Callithrix jacchus: one gene and its partner. The protein of the gene in region 1 purifies or fractionates together with the protein of each later gene. This does not show direct contact. Links are inferred from orthologs where the notes say so. Each region holds a gene or a part of one and is shown in the gene's direction. Other genes may lie near its edges.

Evidence for each region. Proteins that work in one complex are often made in the same cells at the same time.
Region 2: the proteins of LZTFL1 (region 1) and BBS7 purify together in Homo sapiens (affinity purification with mass spectrometry; 3 studies listed by BioGRID and IntAct, counting the BioPlex papers as one, with this or other methods). This does not show direct contact. The link is inferred for Callithrix jacchus from reciprocal best matches to the Homo sapiens genes LZTFL1 and BBS7.

The regions. Positions count from the first base shown.
Region 1 is NC_133516.1:28,563,123-28,568,514, reverse strand, and holds part of LZTFL1 (leucine zipper transcription factor-like protein 1), read left to right. Parts: intron 1-605; coding exon 606-800; intron 801-2,081; coding exon 2,082-2,142; intron 2,143-3,213; coding exon 3,214-3,285; intron 3,286-4,715; coding exon 4,716-4,781; intron 4,782-4,863; coding exon 4,864-4,941; intron 4,942-5,392. UniProt on the Homo sapiens protein: Regulates ciliary localization of the BBSome complex. Together with the BBSome complex, controls SMO ciliary trafficking and contributes to the sonic hedgehog (SHH) pathway regulation. May play a role in neurite outgrowth. May have tumor suppressor function.
Region 2 is NC_133504.1:75,813,643-75,819,470, forward strand, and holds the start of BBS7 (BBSome complex member BBS7), read left to right. Parts: upstream 1-2,207; 5' UTR 2,208-2,366; coding exon 2,367-2,402; intron 2,403-4,618; exon of another isoform or gene 4,619-4,639; coding exon 4,640-4,705; intron 4,706-5,828.

The DNA.
Region 1 (5,392 bases):
CTGGGATTACAGGCATAAGCTACCATGCTTGGCCCTGAGAGTAGATTTTTAATGCTATTGTTGATGATGATATTCATTTTTGTGAAATAAGCAATGGAACTTTAAGGTAAGCTAGGTTTTTTTTTAATTATTCTTTTGGGTCTCAAGAATGCAAAGAGAAGCAATATATAATTACCATTTATTTCCCACAGGCATTTACTAACCTGTGACTAGTTCATACAGTTATTAAAATGCTAGAGAAATATTAGAAAGAAATGAGACTGTGCCTACCAGGTGACTTTTAAAATTATTAAATGTAGTAAGACTGGTTTCAGTGGAGTTTGAAATAAGACATTTAATACTAAAAAATTAAAGAAAAAAAATAGAAGACGGTTTTGGGAATGTGTATTAAAGGATGTGCACAATTTAATCATTTGAATAGATGACAAAAATTGAGTTTAAATTATTTTCAATGTTTTATTAATAAAGAAAATAGTTCCCAGAGAGATTTTTCACTGTAATCTTTGAATTTCTTAGATTACATGAATTTGGATTTCTTAATTTGTTGTATTTTGTAGATTTTGTTGTTGTTTATCCATAAGTTTTGGATTGTGGTTGTTTTGCAGGTTGGTGGAGGAGACCTTCACCGTAGATGAAGTCTCTGAAGTCCTCAATGGATTGCAAGCTGTGGTTCACAGCGAGGTAGAATCTGAGCTCATCAACACCGCCTATACCAATGTGTTACTTCTGCGACAGCTGTTTGCACAAGCTGAGAAGTGGTATCTTAAGCTTCAGACAGACATCTCTGAACTTGAAAACCGGTAATAAAATTTGTACTTAAAACTGTGACAATAGTGGCCCAGGCATAATCTTAAAAGTTAGTGAACATCTTTGCTGCATATTTTCTTGGGGCCAGTGTGTGAGAAAATTTGGGTAGGGTAACAGCAAAGCATCGAGTCACGGAGTGATGTCTAGCGTACCACGCAGCACCCTTTTAAAAGTTGTTCCACTGTTCCTGGGTATTCCAGGGGCCATTGAGATTTATGAAATTGCTTTTCAGGCTGTCATTATTTTTTACAGCATTTTTGTTAGCTTGGTCAGTATTACAATCAGTCTTTATAGATTGGTCAATTAAGAAATAAAGATTATGAGACAGTTCAAAAATCAATTCAAATATAAATACCATCAATTCAATGTAGTAGCATTGGAAGTTTTCTAAATAATTGAATTTAAAAGTACACATTTATTAACTTTAAGAAATATGAAATACAGAAAAGTTTATAATATGGACATCAAAAGCTCAAATTGAAAAAATATGGTAAAATTGGTGAAGTTGAAATCATTTTAAGAACAGGCATGGCAGAAATCAGGAAGGACTGGCCACCAAGCCCTGTGAACTTCTCCAAGCGTGGTCACAGCATGTCAGTTCATGTGCAGGTGTTGAGCAACACTGAGGACAACCTGTGGACTGGGGAGGAAAATCCTTTGACTTCTGCCACTGTCAGGAGGTGACTGGTGAGAAAACTGAGAAGGTGGCACTTACAGAAGCTTAGAAGCTGACTGCTGTTAACTCTCTCCGCTTGTGTACAGAAGTTCTCATTGGCCTTGGCCAGTCTTCAGATGGCACACCCCCACTATCTGTCTTTCCTAGGGAGTTGTGATACTCCTTTTCAAGAGGTACTATGGACTATTTTCATTTTTCTGAGGCTACTTTATTAAGAATCAGTTTGTCTTTCTTGAATCACCTTCTAGCTAACAATACATATTATATAATAAAAAAATCTCCTCATAGCACCTGGAGAATACAAAGTTGACTATAAATTTCCCTCACTTTTATATTAACATTGTAGTGTATTTCTAGCAATAGATATTGCATACCTAGTAGGTGCAAAATGCCAGGTGCTGTGGATGATCACATTTGAGTCCGTGTGGTTTAGATTCTCAACCATTTGCAACTAACATTTTTGATATGGTGAAGTTTGGTCTTCCTTGTTCTGTTCTCTCTGGCATTTAATAGGTTGGTACCAGTGATTTTACTCTTCTTATGTGTGATATAAATCTGTTTTAAATGAATAATTTTTATCTTTGTTTTAATCTTCAAGAGAATTATTAGAACAAGTTGCAGAATTTGAAAAAGCAGAGATAACATCTTCAAACAAAAAGGTAACTTTGTGGTCATTCTAAATCCGTATCTTAATAGCCAGTATTTAAAATCCTCAAGTCACTCAAAGAATTCAGAGATCAAACTGAGAACTCTTAAGGAAAAGCATTCAGTTCAAGAGTAAAATTCAAAAATTGTCTCTCATATTTTGAGGCAAAAGAAAAAATGTTTTGGAAGTAACTATGGAAAACTGCTTTTGTCTGTGATGACCTACACAAACCCATGATCCCTGAGTCCAGTCTCAGTCCCACCCATAAATACTCTACTCAGAAGATGCAGAGCACAGGCTCTCGGGTCAGCCACACCTGGGGATACTTCCTGGCTGTGTTACCTTGAGCAGGTTATCTGAGGTAGCTGAGCTTCATTTTACTCATCTGACAAATGGAGACAATACTAGGAGTCATCTACTTCTCTTTCTAATCATTCTCATTAACTGGCATGACGACTTACGATTCCACTTCACAGACGTACGGTGAATACTCCATTGTTGGATAAACACTGCTGAGATGAATCTAGGTACACACCCATACAAAACACTTTCCAGTTATTCCTTTGGGTCATATTTCTGGCGGAGAAATTTCTGGATCAGAGGGCAAGGATTCTTTTGTTTTTAATACATATTACTAAACTACTGGATTACTTGTGCCAAATTATTGTTTATCTATAGTATATTTGCCTAGATCTTTATCAGTATTACAGTTTTTCACAGAATCTAAGGTTCATGCAGAAATCACTGTTTCAGCTCCCACAGGTTAAAACTCTAGTTCCTAAATGCAAGGCTCTATAGCAGATCTAGCTTTGAGCTCCTTCCTTCCCTCCTTTCTTCCCTCATTTTCCGTTTGTATTTTTTTAAGATACAGGGAAGATAGGTTTTATTTTTACCCTGACAGGCATATCGTAGGCACCGGGAATAACAAAGGATGAATCCAACAGAAATCTCCGCACCTGTGGAACTGACATCCCAGTGGATATGTTTATATACAGTGTCTTCCACTTGGAAGGTGCAAGTGTTCAGTGATTATACATGCTTTATTCTGGGGTGATTTCAGTTTGGTTTCTTTATTTTGTTTCAGCCCATCATAGATATCACAAAACCAAAGCTTGCTCCACTTAATGAAGGTGGAACAGCAGAACTCCTAAACAAGGTAATGTTATTATTTTGAGAAATGGAAAACCTCTAATTCTCTCCTCTCATTGCCTGAACAACTCTGGGATGGAGAAACAGAAGTGGAAGGTTTGATTCAGGACCACTGAGGATAATTAGTTCACTATAATAGTATTACTTAATGGTATTTCATAGGCCAGAAGAGGGCATCCTTACCTTCTAGAGAGCCTGAAGTAGCTCTTGATCACAGCTTTTCCAGGTAAAGTGAAGAGCATGACATTTTGGACAGCGTTTATTGATGGACATTTAAAGTTTGTGATCTACGGTAACAAAGAGAAGGGTTTTTGCTTTAAGTTTGTAAAAATTATTTATCAGCATGGGTTGAGTATCCCTTATCCAAAATACTTGGGACCAGAAGTGTTTTGGATTTCATATTTTTGAATATTTATGTTATACAGACCCAGATGAGCAGCCCAGATCCAAAAATCTCATATCTGAAATTCTCCAATGAGCATTTTCTTTGAGCATCATGTCAGCGCTCAGAAAGGTTCAGATTTTGAAGCATTTCAGATTTCAGCTATTTTCATGACCTTGGTATTCTCAACATTATGCTAGATGTTGTTAAAGAGATAAAAAGCAGTGTAATACCTTGTCCCTTGCCCTCAAAAATGTAATAGTTTTATTGGGAAGGTAGAACTGATGCTCTAGAAATGGAGACCAGAGAATACTCTCCTGTGTGCTACAGGTGTCATACTTGGGGGCAAAGAAGACTCAGCTGTGTGTGGATGAGAGTAGGTGAGAACAGCCTTTTGGATAAGGAGGCACCTAAGCTGGGCCTTGAAGGGTGAAGACCAGTTAAATTCTAGAGGAAAAAGAAGTGAGTGTTTTGGGCAGGAGAACAGAACAGGCAGTGACTTGGAAGCGGCATGACTTGGAACAGAGTGCAGTGCTCTCTGACTGGCCTGATGTGTTTGTCGGAGTCTAGTGGAAAAAAACACAGGTGACTTGAATGTTTGAGCTGTATAAGAGCAAAGGTGTTTGCTCAACTCAGTCAGAAGCATCTGTGGGCTTGAGCATGGTACTGAAATGAAGGAGTTCTCCGGATTAGGGTCAACAGTGTGCAGTGGAGGCTGAGAACAGACCCAGGATTTGCAGGACCACCTAGGAGAGAGATGGCAGGGAAGGGGGTCTCTGGAAAAAGCTTGAAAACAGAGGGCTGAAAGAGGAAAGATGTGTCTGAGAAATTGAGAGGAAAGGAACTGGCTGTCTTAGGGCCAAAGCTGACTCACAGATACTGAGGCTGATGGTCTGGATGAAATTGAGATATTACCAAAATATCAGTAGTGCATTTTTGAGCTATTATGTAATTTAAATTAAATTTAAAACTTAGATTTTTAAGTGAAACAAGTAATAATTTCAAATATTAAAATATTTTGGTTAATATAATAAAACTTGTATTTACTCACAAAGGAAATTTCAAGACTTCAAGAAGAGAATGAGAAATTGAAGTCAAGGTTGAAGACCATTGAAATACAGGTAGCTGAGAAATGTTTTGACACAATTATTGACTTGCCTACAGATTAAATACTGAAAGTGTTTTGTTTAAACTTCATTATAGGCTACAAATGCACTGGATGAAAAGTCCAAACTAGAAAAAGCACTGCAAGATTTACAGCTTGATCAAGGAAATCAAAAGGTGAAACAAGTTTTAACTACCTTTTGCACATTTTCTAAATAGAATGAAGTTCTAAACTTCAAATTACGTCTTAGTTACTGCTCACTGCACCCCACCCTCTGCCACTCCGAGACAAATGCCTCTATAGTCCTGTGTTGGGACATCCTTGCCCCCAAAAGGCCTGGTAAGAACCAGTGGCCTTCCCTCTGTCCATCCTCCAGGGCAGAGGGGACAGTACATAGCACACACACCTGTAATTTCCCTGGCATGCAAGATATTCTCACATTTTTTAAAGTTTTTCCCTTTCACTTTGACATCCAATTACAGTGGGGGGTGGGGATGAAGAAAAGTTTTTAGTTAATTGGTTTATATTTAGGTTTTATTATACTGAACATTACCTAAGTTTGCCTTTGATGAGTGTGACAAAATGGTTATGAATCTGCAAATCCATCTGTACCTAGGTGGCACTGTA
Region 2 (5,828 bases), on another chromosome or scaffold:
AATACATTAGTTGTCTCAAGGAAAAGCACTTGGGGGATTGAGCTGCTAGCTGAACTTGCTGCTTTTCTCACGGAACACTTTTTATTTGAAGAAATTACTGACAAATTATGATTTTTCAGACTTAGATATTTGGCATTTATTTTTGTGTGAATTCAAGAAAGGAACAAAATATTTGGCATTTATTTTTTTGTGAATTCAAAGAAAGGAACCTATGAGTTCAAGGAAAACAACTCGCATTAATTGCCAATGTGTAAATTTCAAACTTTCAAGCACAAATTCGAATTTTGGGAAACATGTATTCACCATCAGTTTGACAGATCTCCCATACTCGAGACTTTTTTAATGAGATCCATGGTGATACTAACAGATGGGATTTTTTGATGTTACGTAATGAAGTCACATTCCACATTGCAACTAACCTTTCAAAAAACTGCCACTTGTTGAGTTTGGACCAAATTTTCTTTATATACATGAACAAAAACAACATATAACAATAGATTGACTGCAGTAGCAGAGTTGAAGCTCCTCCTGTCTACTATTAAAATGGACAGAAAATAGATTTGTGTACAGTGCCAGTTTCATTTCATTTTTTTATTTTGGAAAATATTTTTTTTCATTAAGGTATTTGTCACAGGTTTTTAAAACTACACTAATTTTCAGTTCTAATGTCTAATATGGTAAAAACTAATAGATAACTCATATAAACAAACTGTCTTCATATTTTCCAAAGCCATCCACAGATTAAGTGCAATTCCCATCAAAATACTGTTACTATTTTTCACAGAACTAAAAAAAAATTCTAAAATTCATATGGAACCAAAAAGAGTCTGAATAGCCAAAGAAATACTAAGCAAAAGAACAAATTTGGAGGCATGCTATTACCAGACTTCAAATTATACTGCAAAGCTAGTTACCAAAACAGCATGGTACTGGTAAAAAAGTAGACACATAGGCCAATTAAACAGAATAGAGAACCCAGAAATAAAGCCAAGTACTTACAGTCAACTAATCTTCGACAAAGCATACGAAAAAATAAATGGGAAAAAAGGCACCCTATTCAATAAATGGTGCTGGGAACACTGGTTAGCCACATGTAGAAGAATAAAACTGGATTCCCATCTCTCACCTTATACAAAAATCAACTCAAGATGAATCAAAGACTTAAATCTAAGACCTGACATCATAAAGATTTTAGAAGATAACATTGGAAAAACTCTTTTGGACATTAGCTAAATGCAACAAAAACAGAAATAAATAAATGAGACCTAATTTAACTAAAAAGCTTGTGCAAAGCAAAAGAAATTATCAGCAGAGTAAATAGCCCACAGAGTATGAGAAAATATTTGCAAACTATGCATCTGATAAAGGACTTGTATCCAGAATCTACAAGGAACTCAAACAACTCAGCGAGGAAAAACCAAATAATCCCATCAAAAAGTGGTCAAAGGACATTTCTCAAAAGAAGATATACAAATAGCTAACAAGGCCGGGCGCGGTGGCTCAAGCCTGTAATCCCAGCACTTTGGGAGGCCGAGGGGGGTGGACCACGAGGTCAAGAGATCGAGACCATCCTGGTCAACATGGTGAAACTCCGTCTCTATTAAAGATACAAAAAATTAGCTGGACATGGTGGCGCGTGCCTGTAATCCCAGCTACTCAGGAGGCTGAGGCAGGAGAATTGCCTGAACCCAGGAGGCGGAGGTTGCGGTGAGCCGAGATCGCGCCATTGCACTCCAGCCTGGGTAACAAGAGCGAAACTCCGTCGCAAAAAAAAAAAAAAAAAAAAAAAAATTAAAAATTAAAAATGAGAGAAAACCCACCAAAAGCAAATGGTCTTTGTGGCCCTTAATGGTTTTTAAGAGTTTTGTAAAGGAGTCCTAAGACCAAAAGTTTGAGAACTGCTGCCCTTTCCAGTGTCGGAGTGAAATCGGTCAGAATCTACCGAGGCTTAACGAGTTTGTTGTACAGCGATGGGTAAACAAGCCGAGGACTAGCTCTGAGCAGCGGTGAGGTTGGAGCCAAGCCTGCGTCTGGGGTCTCTGTGGAAACCGCCCTGGGTCTACGGTACCTCGCGTCCTTGGTTCCTCTCCGCCTCTGATTGGAACACGCTGTCAGTGGGCGGTGCTTCTGGAAAGGGGCGACCCTTCATCTTCTTCCAGGAGCCACTCGCAGCAGCGTATTGACGTCACGCCGGACGCCGCTACCCTGTCGCCCAGCCTGTACTGCCCCGGACGTGAGCGCGGTTGCTGGGGCTGGCCTCTGAGTGGGTGCCGGCGGCTTTCTGACTAGATCCGAGATCTGCGGGACCAAAGCCTCTGTCCCTCCTGTTCTTGTCCGGCGCTGCCTATCCCTTCCACGTAGTCATCATGGATCTGATTTTAAACCGAATGGATTATTTACAGGTAAACCCAAGGGATGGGGCGGGCGCCGCGCTGGACAAGCCCAGCTCCCTCCCAGAGAGGATTCCTTCCTTCCACTGAGGAAAGTCTAGGTCGCCAGGAGCGGGTGCGGAGGCTAAGGATCCGGTTGGGTGCTGCCCTCCCAGCACCCCGCCTTTGGGCAGCTCTCGTTTGTCTGTGACGGTCCGCGGAGACTGGGAAAAAGTGGCGCAGGCACCCGCCGTGCGGCTCCTGCCGGCACCTGAGGATACTACTCTGAATGTGTTGACACAATCTGATCCCGGATTCCCCCCGGGACCCTCCTCCTTCTCCTCAGCCGCGGCTGCCTGAAGGCCTCTATCTCCTGAATCTCCATCTTCCGGCCCCTTCTCCCGAGCACGTGGCACTTGTTTGTTTCTTACTGTGAGCTGGACCACACCATGCAGATCATAATAAAAGCAATGAAAACTAGGCCTGGGGCAGTGGCACAAGCCTGTAATCCCAGCACTTTCGGTGGCGTAGGCGGGCGGATCACAAGAGGTCAGCAGTTCAAGACCAGCCTGGCCAACATGGTTACACCTCGTCTCCACAAAAAGTATAAAAATTAGCCGGGCGTGGTGGTGCGCGTTTGTAAACCCAGCTACTCTGGAGACTGGGGCAGGAGAATCGCTTGAACTCAGGAGGCGGAGGCTGCAGTGAGCTGAGATCACACCACTGCACTCCAGCCTGGGCAACAGAGTGAGACAAAAGGAAAAAACAAACAAACGAAAAGCAATGACAACAGTTTAATGTGCATCCAGTTCATTCTAAGAATTTAGCATACTAGGGAGTTGCTGTTTGAATCAAAGTCTCGGACTCCAGAACTGGTGTTATTTTTGTTACACCACATTGCCTTTCAGAATTTCTTTCAGCCCTAAAATTCTCTCTTACCCCAATTCCTCCTCATCTTTTTTGGTCATCTCATTTTAGCTAATGGTACAAATGTTTGCTGAGTCAATTTTCTAGGAGTTTATGCTAAGTACTTCCCACCTTAATATCTTCTATATCCAACTGGTCACTACATCTTGCTGCTTTTAACTCCCAAATATCTCTTGAATCTGTCCCATATCTTCTATCTCTGTGACCCTCATTTGGGTTCTCAAGCAATTATTCTCTTGCTTGAATAATTGAAATAGCCTCCAGATTGGGCTCCTGAACTTCAGCTTCATCTCCCTCCAAGCCATCCTTCACATCATTTGCTAGACTGACGCTTCAGAAATACAAATCTAAGCAGATTACTTTAATACAATTTTCTGGAATGCAGAATAAAGTCATTTATACTATATGAACGTTTTGTCATGATCTGTTGTTTTCACCAATTTCTATTCCATTGGTCCCATCCTCCTAACAATTCACCAGTGTGACAGTTCCTTGCTCTTTTCATCTTTTGTATTTTTTTGCAAAATAATATTTTTTCACCCATTAGATTGGATATTATGCCCATAATCATGTTTGATATTTTAGCAGAAATCTTCAATGTTGCCTTTTTTTTTTTTTCTTTTTTCTGAGACAGGGTCTTGCACTGTCACCCAGGCAGTCTGGAGTACAGTGGCATGATCATGACTCACTACAGCCTCAAATTCCTGGATTCAAGTTATCCTCCTGCCTCAGCCTTCCAAGTAGCTAGGCCTACAGGCATGCACCACCATGCCTAGCCAGTTTATTATTATTTGTAGAGACAGAGGCTCCCTGTGTTGCCTAGATGGTGTTGAAACCCTGGGCTCAAGTGATCCTCCCACCTTGGCCTCCCAAAGTGCTGAGATTATAGGCATGAGCTACTGCATGTGGTCTTACGTTGCATTTTTAATAACTGAAATCTATTTTCAAAGATCTTGAATAACTTTACAGAACAACTATATGCAGTTGGAAAAGAAGGCTTCTAGAGATATTTTTTGTGTTTCCACCATAGAAAGCATTGTCGAAGTAACTGCTGAGCTAAAGCCGGCCTGAGATATTTTTTAATAAAGCATTTTGCCAGTCATCTTACACAACTATTTTTGGCTTGTCTTTATAGGATAAATTTTACTATTTTGGTTGTTTCCTATATGTATTCTGACCAATGTAGCATATTTCATTAGAAAGTAAGTTAATTACTGATAATAATAGTTATATCACTAATTTCAGTTTAACAAAAAGTTCACTGTAGCCTAAATCTGCTGATCATTTCAATCTCTATAATAACTTCAAATTAAATTCATTAGGTGGCTGGTGTTTTTCTTTAGGTGGGAGCAACATCTCAGAAGACTATGAAGCTACTTCCTGCCTCCAGACACAGAGCTACACAAAAGGTACTGTACAGATTCTGATTTCTCTACTATTCCCTTGCACTGACAGAGGAGAGGCTCCTATCTCCTTCTTTATTATTAAGTTATTCTCTTAAAAATGCTAATTTTAAAATGGAAATTATTATTTTTTTAAATTTGAACAGAGATTGGAATACCAAGGGACATTTATAGACAATAATTTTCTTTGACATTAAAATTATTATATACCATTAGTAAATAGTGTAAGCAAAATTAAAACCCATACTTCAATTTTTCTGTATCAGATGTGTATATGAACAAAGAAATATAAAGCAGAATAAGATATCAAGAAAAGGCTCTCTTTAAACTTTCTCTATTTTAAAGTCATTAAATATTTTGATGTTGAACTTTATATTTAATTAAAATATTGATTATGTTTATAGAAATATCGATCCTGTGATGTTCACAAAACCATTATGGTTTCTTAGTAGACTAGCCAAGTATTTTAATAGCTGCAAAACATACTTTATTCTGATATATCAGCATTTTAGCAAGATGAATCAACAATTCCACATAGTACTAGAAGTCCTAGCCAGAGAAATTATATAAAAAAAAGAAATAAAGTACATCCAGATTGGAAAGGAAAGTCAAAATATCTCTGTTTGCAGATGACATAATCCTATGTATATAAAAACCTAAAGACTTTATCAAAAAATTCCTAGAACTGACAAAGGAATCCAGTAAAGTTGCAGGATGCAAAATTAATGTATAAAAATTAGTAGTGTTTCTATACACAACAAAATAGCTGAAAAAGAAATCAAGAACACAATCCCAATTATAATAGATAAAAGATAAAATACTTAGGAATAGCCAGGCGCTGTGGCTCATGCCTGTAATCCCAGCTCTTAGGGAGGCAGAGGTGGGAGGATAGCTTGAGCCCAGGAGTTCGAGACCTGCCTGGGCAATATAGCGAGACCCCGCTCTCCACAATAAGGAAAAAAACAAAAAGACAAAAAAAAAAAAAAATACTTAGGAATAAATTAACCAAGGAAATGAAAGACCTCTACAAGGAAAACTATAAAACACTTACGAAAGAAATTAAAGAGAATACAAACAAATGGAAAAACATCATCCCATGTTCATGGATTAGAAGAATTAATATTGTTAA